Linked DNA regions of Saccharomyces cerevisiae S288C. The protein of the gene in region 2 interacts with the protein of the main gene of each other region in a biochemical or structural test. Each region holds a gene or a part of one and is shown on either strand. Other genes may lie near its edges.

What was found. The genes of interacting proteins can lie anywhere in the genome.
Region 1: of the proteins of RSR1 (region 2) and BUD2, one has a biochemical effect on the other in vitro, tested with the Saccharomyces cerevisiae proteins (one study listed by BioGRID).

What each region holds. Positions count from the first base shown.
Region 1 is NC_001143.9:264,602-271,061, forward strand, and holds BUD2 (GTPase-activating protein BUD2), read right to left. Parts: upstream 4,859-6,460; coding exon 1,544-4,858; downstream 1-1,543. Other genes in the region: MBR1 (Mbr1p), read left to right, coding at 188-1,207; YKL091C (phosphatidylinositol/phosphatidylcholine-binding protein), read right to left, coding at 5,117-6,049. UniProt on the Saccharomyces cerevisiae protein: Stimulates the GTPase activity of BUD1/RSR1. Participates in the regulation of bud-site selection.
Region 2 is NC_001139.9:792,574-798,481, forward strand, and holds RSR1 (Ras family GTPase RSR1), read right to left. Parts: upstream 2,920-5,908; coding exon 2,101-2,919; downstream 1-2,100. Other genes in the region: CCM1 (Ccm1p), read right to left, coding at 1-480; YGR153W (uncharacterized protein), read left to right, coding at 3,519-4,172; GTO1 (omega-class glutathione transferase), read right to left, coding at 4,225-5,295. UniProt on the Saccharomyces cerevisiae protein: Ras-related protein which binds GDP/GTP and possesses intrinsic GTPase activity. Involved in development of cell polarity during the cell division cycle, and essential for bud emergence.

The DNA.
Region 1 (6,460 bases), on a different chromosome or scaffold from region 2:
ATGAAAATGTATTATTGGTGCGAATGGCGCTAAATACAGAGGTTTTTTTTTCTCCATTCCACCCTTAGAAGTTTCTTGTTCAATTCTCATTTTAACTGTTGCGTTTGTTATCGATTAATGTGTTCTGAACTCGAGTAAAAGAACAGGTGTGTGTGCTAAGTAAGAAGAATTATTACATTTACCCAACATGAGGATGGAAAAAACAACAGACAAACCACTTTCTGCAGGAGATATGAACGATGAATATTCTCGGGGTCCAATCGACGATATAGACTGTTTGAACTTTTTCGAAAGGGCTGTTCAGGACCCATGTTGTGAGGCCTGTGACACAGAAGATGCAGATGAAGAACTGAGAGCAAAGCTTAGTAGCTTCAATTTTCAGCCTGATTCATCTCCGTGTAATGCTAAATGTCAACAGACACTGAATCCACTGTGTAAAATAGATGAAGCACTCCCAGCGGAGTCAGAATTAGCTCCATCGAGAAACGGCTCAGTATCTGAGGCAAATTCTGATACAAATTCCATAGCTTCTACTGTCCATGACCCTGTCGACTCCAAATATGGAGGCATGCCTAGCTTGAGAAAGGCCAAAACAACGTCGTACTTTACTTCATCTTCATCGAACAATACCACAATGAGGAACCCGCTAAAAAAATGTAATACCAATATAAATGGCCTTTTAGTGAACGGAAGGAGCTCAAGCTCCTCCAGACAGTCTATACCAGAGCTCTTTAGCGGTGCGTGTACTAAAAAGAAAAACAACGTATTACTGAAAAGTGAAACACCCAATTCAGAATTCTCTAGTAACTCACTTCAACATTGCAACTCAAGGTCGTTTTCTCTACCCAGGTCAAGATCAAGGTCTTCTGCCATTGCCATACCAACACATTTGTATGGCTTGGAAAAGTACGTTTCACCTGGGTTGGATACTTTGACTGCTGACCCAGAAGAAAGTATTGAAAGGTTTTCAAATAATCGGCCCCGTGAAATATCATCGTGTTGTCCGAACGATACAGGGGACACCTCCTCATCATTATCACATTCGAACACTTCCTCATCACTAAATTTCCCTTTAGGTACAAATACAAATCAATTCCACCAACCAAGGCAGCCAGTACAACAGCAACAGTCTTCGAAACCAAACTTTGGTGCTGGGAGGAAAAAATCTTTCATTGAGATGTCACTAGCAAGTTCCTTTGCAGGCTAACATTCTCGCCACCTTGGAATAACCGTATGATGTTCAACTTTGTTATTTATTTCCACATTCTGGATCGCCATCTGTTCGTTTTTATTAAATATAATATATACCCATTTGTATCTCCTGTTTGGTTTCCAAATTTCCATATACTTATCGCTGTCTATCATCTCCTCTCGAAGCATTTTTTTATATACTATATTATGAGAAATCTTTCTGAAAAATTATGAATTACTTTTTTCTGCTGATAGTACAACCCGCTATATACTGTTACAAGTAGTGAATAAAGAAGTAAAAAAAAAAAAACTTTCAAAGGAAAGAATATGAAGTGAACATTTTTTTCTACGATTAAGATCCCCCTGTTTCTTTTTTCTTTTTGAACCATCTTGTCAGCTTACGGGAATTTTGTTCTTTAGGAACATCTGCGTTAGGAGGTTTCCTCATTATCCTAGATAACTTTGTCGGGGAAAATCTATTCCCCAAGTTACCTTTACCTTGCGAGTTTGGAAGCGTCAAGTAATCATCCTTGGCTCCATTTTCCGATGATGTTCCATGTACCGATGTTTTGTTGCTACTCTTGGGATTCTCATCACTTACATCAATAGTCAAAAATTTACAGTAACTATCTCCAACTGTGTTATTGGATTTACTAGAGACACCTTTTGTGAAGAATTTCTGCAATCTTGCGGAAGAGTTTTCATTTGTTGGTTTATTTAGTAGTTTAAGAACAATTTCTTTTCCCTCCTTTATTTCTTCATAAAAAATTTTATGTGAGAGTGAAATGGAGTATTTTTTGTCTTCAAACAAAGTGCTGGAAGCACATTCATAACCTGACAACCGTTTTCTAATATGATTAATCCTATTATAGAGTAAACATGACTCTTGCTCCAATTCTTTCATTGCATGCTTTTCCTCTTCTGCTTTCGGGATTATAGAATTAAATTTGATGCCTGAATTAGCGCCATTATCCAAATCTCTGCTTCTGGAACCTACATCATCGCTTTTCAGTAGGTTCATTAAATCATCTCCGAAGATCTCCGTGTTGTTTTCAGTTATTTTCTCAAATTCTAACTCTCCAATTTCTGGCTTAACCTCAATTGGTGAATCCAAATCTTTTTTATCCACAGACAAATTTAGGCTGCTACCGCTTAACAGGCCCTCCTCTTCGATTAATTCTCCCTTCCCACCATTATCCATGTGATTGTATTTTTCCATCTTGGTCATATCTTCCTGACTGAAATTAACAATCAAGTTAACAAACTCAGTTTCTCTCAAATTCTTATCAAGCAGATAAGGAATCTGAGGCAAATCATCCAACATCGTTTGTTCAATGGCCAATTTGGGTCTCGAAATAGTAGAACTTAGGTTCAATATCTTTGAATTAAAATCTAGTTTCTTTTGCGTCATTTTATCAATGTAATCTAATAAGTCATTGTGTCTTTTATCGATAAAGTTATTCATCTTCATTAGCCAGGGCTCTTTGTTTGCAAACTGCGTCAAAGTGGACAGATTAAGTAAAACTTTACTTATTAGGGTAAGATTCCTTCTTGCTGTTTCGTTTAAATTTTGAGAAACATATTTGAATAGCTTAGGGTTTAATATGACTGGACAAAAAAACCTTAAAAACAATAATCCTGATATACCATTCAAAATTATTTGCAAAGTGTCATCGATACAAATTATCTCTAGTTTTTGCCTAAAGATTTTTAAAACATTTCTTATTTCAATCGGCAGGTCATTACTCGTTGCATACAGCCTTTTCCAAATCTTCGTAACCCAAGAATACAATCGTTTGTAGTTGTCGGCAATTATTTTCCTCTTTTTTACTTCATCTTTTTCTTTTACTCTAGCAGGATCCAATTCACATGATTTGTTTGACTCAATGATCTCTTTTAGTATTGCACTAAGCGCTTTACTCAAATATTCATTACCCACTCTGAAAAAGTACTGTTCAATCGACTTTGTTAAGATAGAGTTACCACGGAATAAACTGTTGAAAACATGCTTTGAGTCTAAATTTTTCTGGTTTATTCTTGAAACCGTTCCATCAATTTTAGCCAATTCTTTGTCTATAAGGACGTGGAACCATTCTTCTATTCTTGACAAAGATTGGAATATATCGAGAAAAATTATGGATGTTTGCGTCAATTTGTTATCATTCTCCATTGATGAAGAAGATTTGTAAATTAGATTGGAAACCATGGACAAGTTTGCGTTCATCAAAAGTTTTTCCAATTTAACGAAATTGGTTGACGGTAAAATGAAGTTCAAATTTGAAGAAATTTTAATACAGATTGTTCCTATTTGAAAATTTTTGTTATCAACGTCCATGATGGGTAGTCTTGTTTCCTTATTATATCTTGTATCATTTATTATTTCTTGTGTGATTTTTATTTTGCCTATCAATCGTAACCGTTTTTTATTATTGAGATCGTGGAATAACTGCTTGATTTCCAGATAAGAATTAGTAAGTCTTAAAAGTTCATTGAACTGAAACTCTTCTCTCCAAAATGGATTAGAGGAGTTTGAAACCATGGATGTTCTAGCCCATGTATGGCCCCAGGCCGTTATGTCTGTGAATATTGACCATGGCGTATTATTCTTGTCATTTAAATTGATTGACTGAAAATTAGCTTCCAGTATGGAAATTTTAAAGCTATTCGATATCTTCATATCATTTGATTTATCTGAGCCAGTAATAGATAAGTATTCCGACCTAGCGAACGATTGTAACGCTATAAAACAATCCTCCAGGTCTATTCTTAAGGGAAACTCTACAATAATTTCTTGAGAAATATCACTAGAGTTGGTGGCAGCACTGGCAATATTTTCTATGCGAAACTTTTCGAGGCCCAACTGGCTCCTTAGTAATGGCAATTCACCTAAAAACAAACTGTTTTCACTTTGTAAAACAGATGAATCCAGAATTCTTATCTCTGATCTTAAAAGCTGGCTAATATTCAATGAGTAAATCAGAGAGCCGTCACTCTGTAAAAGAAGATCTAGCATGCCGTTTGATTTAAGCACCCCCATAGCGGAAAACCAACCTACGCTGTTGTCATCATTATTAATTATATCAGGGCTTTCTAAAATATTTGTTGCTGGCGGAAGGACGATGTTCTTAACGATGGGCCCAAAAACATTCAATTTGTAAACCAGCAAACTTTCTGGTTTCGCCATTTTTTTGCTTTTAAATTCTAGAGGTCGCGATACTTGAAACTTATTAAATATACCATTTGTCTTCATTGAGCTCCACCAGATCAGACATGTTAGCAATTTCTTGAAATCACTCCAACTTTTAACTCGCAGGTAAACTTTATTATCTTTACCTGAGGTGTTTACTTGGATTATAAAATTACAATTTGCATTAATATCCTTAAAAGAGGAATGCTTATCCTTAATAATCTCGATTCTACATTGCTGTAGATGTTTGATAATTGGCTGAATATTAGTAGAGTCTGCTGTTAACTCATCGATTGAGTGGGTTAGTGCACCTGTACTGGTAATTTGCAGATAGTGTGTCTTCCAGTCGTTTAAGGACAGGTTATTACACCACTGAATCTCACCCTTAAAGGTATTCTTGTAATGCTTAACGTTGGACAAAAATTCATTCAATTTGAAATATGATGTTCGACTTTGGGCCGGTTCATTGTTGGAGCTCATAATATGATACAATCAAAGATAAACACCACGACGTATGCACGGATAAAGTTTTCAGTCTGACCGAGTAGTTATTCCTACTATTTTGTTGTTTCTTCCTCCGTTTTCATAAATGGCGTTTGTTTGGATACCTTTCTTTTTTATCGAACAGAACGCGTTCAAGAATGAAAGTCATTAATTATTATTAGATACAGAGATATACATATTATAGAGTATGCATGCTATATTCACGGAAAGCTACGACGAAGGCCTGTATCATAGTTAGCTGGTAACAGTAAATTTACCAAAAATGTTGGGAATTTCACCTTCTGGTCCGATGTATCTAGGGTCTCTCCAGGGACCAATATCGGAATAGTAGAACTTATCATTAGGGTTGTGCAAGACAGATGTACCACCATATTTAACAGGCAAGTTCTCGATTGGAATTTGTTTTAATAATTCCTTTTTATAAGAAGAGCCAAGAATAAAGATTTTTGACACGGTTACTGGATCCAAGAAGGGTTTAACCATCTTGAACATCGTCGAGAAACCAAATGGACTGTGTATAATATAAAACTTACCCATTCTTTCAGGATAATAATTTTGACTGATATCTGCAACATCTTTAATATAGGAAAGCACATGATAAGCATTAGAAAGTGAGATACCCTTCAAGTCCAGCACAGTGCACGAAGTTTCAATAAGGTAGCCAGCTCTTCTCGAACACGCTGGGACCCGGTACGTGGCAAATAATTCGTACTCCTTGACTAAGTTTCTTAGCATCTGTTTTTCGGTAGTGATCTTGTACATTTTCTTTAAGTTAATTCCTCCTAGTTCTTCGAAGTACAATGGTCTCCCATCCTTATCAACGTGATGGTAATACTGAGGGTACATTTTGGCCAATTTGATTCTTTCTTTGTCTTCGGCTTCCTTGTTGTTTTCATAATCCTCGATAATAGTGTTGGCACCGTATTCTTCCCTCCATCGTTCAGTTTCTACAAACATCTCAACGCTAGCATTGATATCAAATTTCCTTGCCCGTAGAAATCGCAATAGCGTAGAATCATCCAGCCTTTCTTTGTAATTCTTTTCTAACAAGATTGACCTAAATTGCAAAAGCGCTTCCTCTTGCTCCTTAGTCAAATTGCCGGGAGTACCTGGCAAAGCATTGGGGGAGCATATTTGAGGATAAGTATCGAGTATGCTGGTTGTCATTCTTCCTTTCCAGTTTTAACAGTGCGCAAATGTATTGCTTTTCAGATTTATTTCCCCGTTATACAAGTTCAAGGAAATGTTTGAGTAGAGAGAATCACGATCTAAATAATAATCCGAAGAATTTAAAAAGGAGTAAATAGGGGCATACAAGAGGGGGAATTTCAGAAGTGCCTGTTATGTAAAAAAGATATGATAACACATAATGGATTGCATACCAGTAAATTTCCATATGTACTATGCCGACCTCTTTTCATGTAAACGCCTTGCAAATTCATACTTAATGATTACAAGAAAGTAATATGTAAATTTTAAGCTCAGGTTCAAGGTTTATAAGGGCCTTCGTCTCTGATAGAAGAATCAAGTTGGTAAATCCAAATGGAAGTACGGGTCCCAATAGCAGGTTTGATTTTT
Region 2 (5,908 bases):
ACTGTGTGATCTATCAAAAAGGTTTTTTGCAAGTATGTCGTCGTCTGCTACTCTTTCTCTTATAACTTTTGGTACGAGGTGATCCATTTTTTCTAAAAACGAAGAATGAATCAAATCTGATAGATTTTTGGATTTTTCTTCATTAGGAACAGATGATGTTTTGGTGACATTAACATTCCTTGAGTCTTCTGAGATTGGTGCGATACTATTGCTTTGGTGGCCATCTGAATTCACCGATTTAGTGTTGTGAATGCGTTCTTTTAAAGTATTAGAAAATTCTCGTAATTGTGCTAATTTGAACTCAACGTCTTCAGGTGTTATTATTTTATTTTTACTTAAACTCCCCATCATATTCTTTTCATCTTCAGTTTGTAGGGTATACTTGAAACGCTTATTTATTAGTCGTTTTGAAAATAGAAAGGAAAGTTGAAATGGGAAACACAGCACATTATTCTTGGGGCCACATCTGGCCATGTACATGTTTATATTTATCTATCTGTTAGGACTTGTGAAACAATGCTATTTTCCTGTGCACTATGGACTATGGCTTTGCTTTTACATTTTATGCCTCCAATTTTTCACAATCCTGTCCGACGCTCAGATATTGGTGTGGAAGTAGAGCTAACTCTCTATCTCAGAAAAAAGGTTAGAGCAAGGCAGATCTTTTGCAATAAGAATCAGTTACCATCGATCGATTTGAATTCATATTACTAGTACTTTGCAATACACTGTGTAAGAAGATGTCATAAAGATTGAGAAACGGTCATCAAACTTAATGTAAGCAGAGACACGAGGATTGATGATGAAGTAAGATAATGTGCGACAAGGAAGAAAAAATAATAGCATTATGTAGAGATATCGATTCCCTTTTGTGGGCGCTATGTTCTGGAGGAGAGTTTCTAGTATATTCCTTATCCATAATGTTATATGTGATCTTTATCAACAGTGGAATCCCAACAATAATGCAATTATTCACCCATTTTTCACAAGCAAGCAAGCATTATGAGAGAAGAACGAATGTACAGTCATTTAGATGATAAGATTGGAAGTAGGTCATGATAGTCAGGATTATGTAAAGACACTTGGTGTAACCCTGTATCGGCTGATTTATAATATCGAGAAAGATAATATAAGAAGCGCCTGAGAGTCAGTGGATCGATTATCGAAAATAGAATAGAGACGTTCACGGAGACCCACTGAATGTTTCGTATTAAAGGAGGGATGACTACTAAACCATTTTCACCGCTACTGGTGGCCATTTTGTATTCTTCCATTTACAAGAATTGCTCCCGACTTTTGTTCCATCAGTGGACGATAGACCATTGTCAAACACAGTAATTCTATTTTATTCTTGAGATGAGATGCCGCAATATGACCTGATATGAATCACCCTAAATGTCCGATCTAAACAAATAAAAGGCGTGCGAAACAGCCTCACGACGAGATATGAAGTCGAAAACATCGGCCTAATTTCTGTGCTTTTTAGAAGACTACTCAGATTTTCAATATCAATACAGTGAGTTAGATCTCAGGTTGAGAAGAAACACTTTGATTTTACTAGATAGGAAAGAAAAATGGACTAATTAATCAATCATTTTGTCATCGTTGAAACTTGATAACGCACGCTAAACGATAACGACTATGTTGGAGGGAAAACATTAACGATTACTCTTTTAAGTAATTGCGAAGTATATCTGAGACTAAAGACCCTCTGAATTAATTATATCAATCAACATAAACTATAAGAAACTACAGTGTGAGCTTTAGTTACGAGAGTGTGGATCTGTTCATTTAATATTTTTTATACGTAACGCAGCATCTACCGTAAAATCCCATAGATTGCGGGCACATGGCGCAGTTGGTAGCGCGCTTCCCTTGCAAGGAAGAGGTCATCGGTTCGATTCCGGTTGCGTCCATATTTTTAACATTTCATTTTTTTTGGGTTTAAATTTATTTTCAAACATTATTAATTGATTTCTTTAAAAACTTATACAACGTATGCTAATACTTTAAACTAAACCTTTTAGAACTATAATAAAACTATTTCAAGTAAAGTCTTTTTATCTGATATCTTGATTCATTTATAATAAAATTAAGTGACTATAGAATAGTGCAAGTGGAAGCGTTTTTCTTCTTTTTCTTTTGTTGTGAAGTAGCGCTAATTCCTGTCCTGTTGCTAGAACCAGATTTCGGAACGGCATGTGACGGTTTGTGCTTTTCATTAACCGGAGTAGATTGTTTAACTTTAGCTTGTCCTTGTGAAGATTTGTTATATAAACCTTTTGATGATTGCTTATTGTTTGATTGTTTCGTATCCTGTTTCGCAGAACTAGGGAGCCTGGTTGATGGAGACTCGATTTTGCTAAATTGTTGACTTTGATTTCTTGCGTCTTTAACTGCAACACTTTCCATTTCATTCCGAATGATTTGCCTAACTAAATCAACGAACACTTCATCCACATTGCTCCTCAACAAAGCGCTTGTTTCATAAAAGGGAACTCTACCCCATTTACTGCTTACCTCTATACCTTCTTCCACACTTATTACCCTTTCATTGATTAGATCAGCCTTGTTACCTATTAGAACCATTGGAACGCGATCGGAATCTTTGATCCTAAGGACCTGTTCTCTTAGCTCCATTAATTCTTCCAAAGATTGCCGATCTGTTACTGAATATACCAACAGGAACCCCATTCCTGACTTTATGTATAATTCTCTCATTGCAGTAAATTGTGCTATACCCGCTGTATCTAAAATTTCCAGGTCGAATACCTTGTTATCGATCTCGATGGTTTTCCTGTAAGAATCTTCGATCGTTGGATCATACGTATCCAAATAAACTCCCTGTACAAACTGCACGGTTAAGCAGGATTTACCGACACCACCAGCACCCAATACTACTAATTTATAGTCTCTCATTAGTCCTAATGTTTCCTAGCCAAATATTTCTAAGCGATGATAGAAGCCAAAATATTAGAACGTTGTATGTAAATGTTCTATATCGTTACTAAATAATAGTATTATTGTTCAGTGGAGAGGATGAAATTTCAAAAACTTCTTGGCGTAGTTAAGAACGAACGCAATGGTTCTTTTTTTCGAGATCGAGCTCTACTTTACTTTTTTCTTTTTCTGTCCTTCTCTCTTTTCTTTTTAACCTTTTTCGACGATATTTCGCGTTTGAGAATGTCGAGGATGAATGCGCTTTGACGCGAATTAGTTGTGAGGCTGACGTTGTGATAAAAAGGCGATGATTCTTGGGAATATACAGTCTGTTTCCACTTGCTAGATAAAATGTATGATATTCCAAAAATGCCTTTCTCTATTGAACTGTATGACTGAGATACGCCTGCTTTTACCTTGTATATTATGAGTACTATTCGCCTTTTCCCATAAAGTTGTTTTTTTCTGGGGTTTATGTGTATCGTAAATGGTACAAAATAATAAAATTCTTATCTTGAAAATACTGTTTAATACTTTTCATCATTACTAAATAGGTTACGAAAAGAGGTCTTTGAGAAATGGGAAAGGCCTGTTTGAATAAAGAAGTCGGCACTTACGAATGTGAGGGGGAAAGAGATACCTACTCATTTTTTACCTCTCTCTCAGATATACAGGATTCAAGTAGTAACGAGGAACAATGCGGTGTAGGAAGTATATTGAGTGAAGATAGTTTCACGTTTGAAGGGTCCAACGTGAGCATACGGTTATTTTCCTTGGACTTAAATGCCTTGAATGAAAATGAGAATGGATCCAAGAATCCTGTGAAATTTACCATTCCGCCAAAAATAGAACAAAGAAAGGAAGCAAGACAAAGAGAGAAACGTTTAAGGAGGGTGGCAGTACTACCTGAGAATTCGAGAAACTACCTTGTTGAATCAAGTATGGATTCAAGTAGGGAATACAGTCAACCATTTTTTGACTGGAGGCATGAAATGGTAGAACATGGAGAGGAGAGTGTAAAACCGTGTGGTTGTCATAAATCGAGAAAAGCAAAATGCTTCAAAGAACTGGAGATGGAGAATATAGAAAAGGGCGATATAAAGAAGAGTCTCTTTTACAGAGACATAATTGAATGGTGCAGAGACTATGAAGTCAATAAAACTAGGGAAGTCTGTGTTCCGTCTATACACGAGTTTTACCTACATGGAAATGGAAGTGACAACCTCTTTTGAAGTATAGCCATGCATATAAATATATGTGTGTGTAAGAAAATATTAGAAGTTTTCATAATCTAGAAATGTCAGGCTTTGGGCCTAATGGCACTATACCAAACTGATTGATCTTGTTCCTACTTACTTCCATCCTGATGTAAAAGAGCTTAATATGATTAAAATCTGTAGTAAATCTAAACTCTGCGTAATTCCAGTATAGATTAATCAACCACAAATGAAGGTACGGGAAACCATCCCTTATAGTTTTCAAATTGCATTTGAAGTGCTGCACGTACACGACGTCAAATCTAATTATTGATGGATACAATCTGATATCCGCTTCAGTTAACCTCTGTCCTAAAACAAAATATTTAGCCAAGATTTTCTGTTTGTTACCACTGAATTGCTCCTCTAAGCGCTTATAATTTTCTTTTAGTACACATTCCATCTTCTGCAAGTTTTCAAACAGTGTTTTTACTTCAGTTTCGTAAATCTTTCCGTTTTCTGCTAATCCGACTTTATAGACACCAAGATTAATCTTCGGATGAACCCATTTGATGTTCTTATCAATCTCGTCTATTAAATCATGCGGAACTAGATCAATCACGTTCGTTTCTTCGCTTTGGATAAATTCATCAAACACGCCACTGTTCAAAATTCTTATGATATCGCCACTCTCATTGTTAACAATTTTCCTTGTTTTAGAATCCCACAGAACAGGCACAGTGAACTTTGTACCGGGGTACTTAGGATCATTTAAGTAGTACAACTCGCTTAACCTTGATATATTTTCCACCGGGTCGAAAGCGCCATCCACGAACAACCTTGCAGAGTCATTGTTCACATCACCTAACTCCTCAGATTCGTCTAATTTAGCTGAAGCAATGCCACCAGTGGCAGTAAAGAATCTCTCTTTATATTTTTCCGGCCGGTGTGGAGCAGGTAAGAAACGGGCACCCTTGGAGTCTAATTGCCAGTGAGATAACACAAGCCCTAGAACAGGTTCTAATTTCTTCAAAGACCTGGCAAGAATGGCTCTATGAGTGAATGGACACCCAAGGGCCCCGTAAATATAATACCTTCCTTTTTCTGGTTTAAAAACAGAATGTGTCTTAGAAATTGTTCCCTTGTAAGATACTGACATGGCTTACTGTTTATGATTATTTTTACGAGTATTTTCCTCTATAAGTGGCCATCTCTCCAATTGGCAAAGTCAAGACTTTTGTTATGTCAATATGTGCTACCAAAAATCAAGGGTATTTTCCCACCAGAGCTTATCAATGGCAACTGTGAGATATGAACAGCAGTTAGTAAGGGTGTGTTCTCATCCGACCCTCTGATTCATTTGGTGGCCATTACATTTTCCCTCAATGACACATTCCCCTATTTCATAACTGATTAAAATGGTAATGGCACGTGATAGTAGTGGCTCACAAAACAAAATTTTCTTTCTCAGCGCTGACAAAGCTTCATTTGCATTCTAACCTTATCACAACAACTTCAACTTCACCCAAGTAAGGATAATCAGCTCTGTCGTGACTGATAAATGCTATATCCGGCATATGCAGTCCACACGGCATTACCGTTTCACTAATTTATTGCCATCTTCCTCCACAGTTTTGCACCGAAAGGAAAAAAAGAAACCAACACCGAAAATTTTTTTCTCCTAAAGGTTAAAGTAAACGCAAGGCACTTCACCAGGCTTGTATATATAAATGTCGTGATGCTTCTATGCCAAAGTAAAAGGCAACACTTGA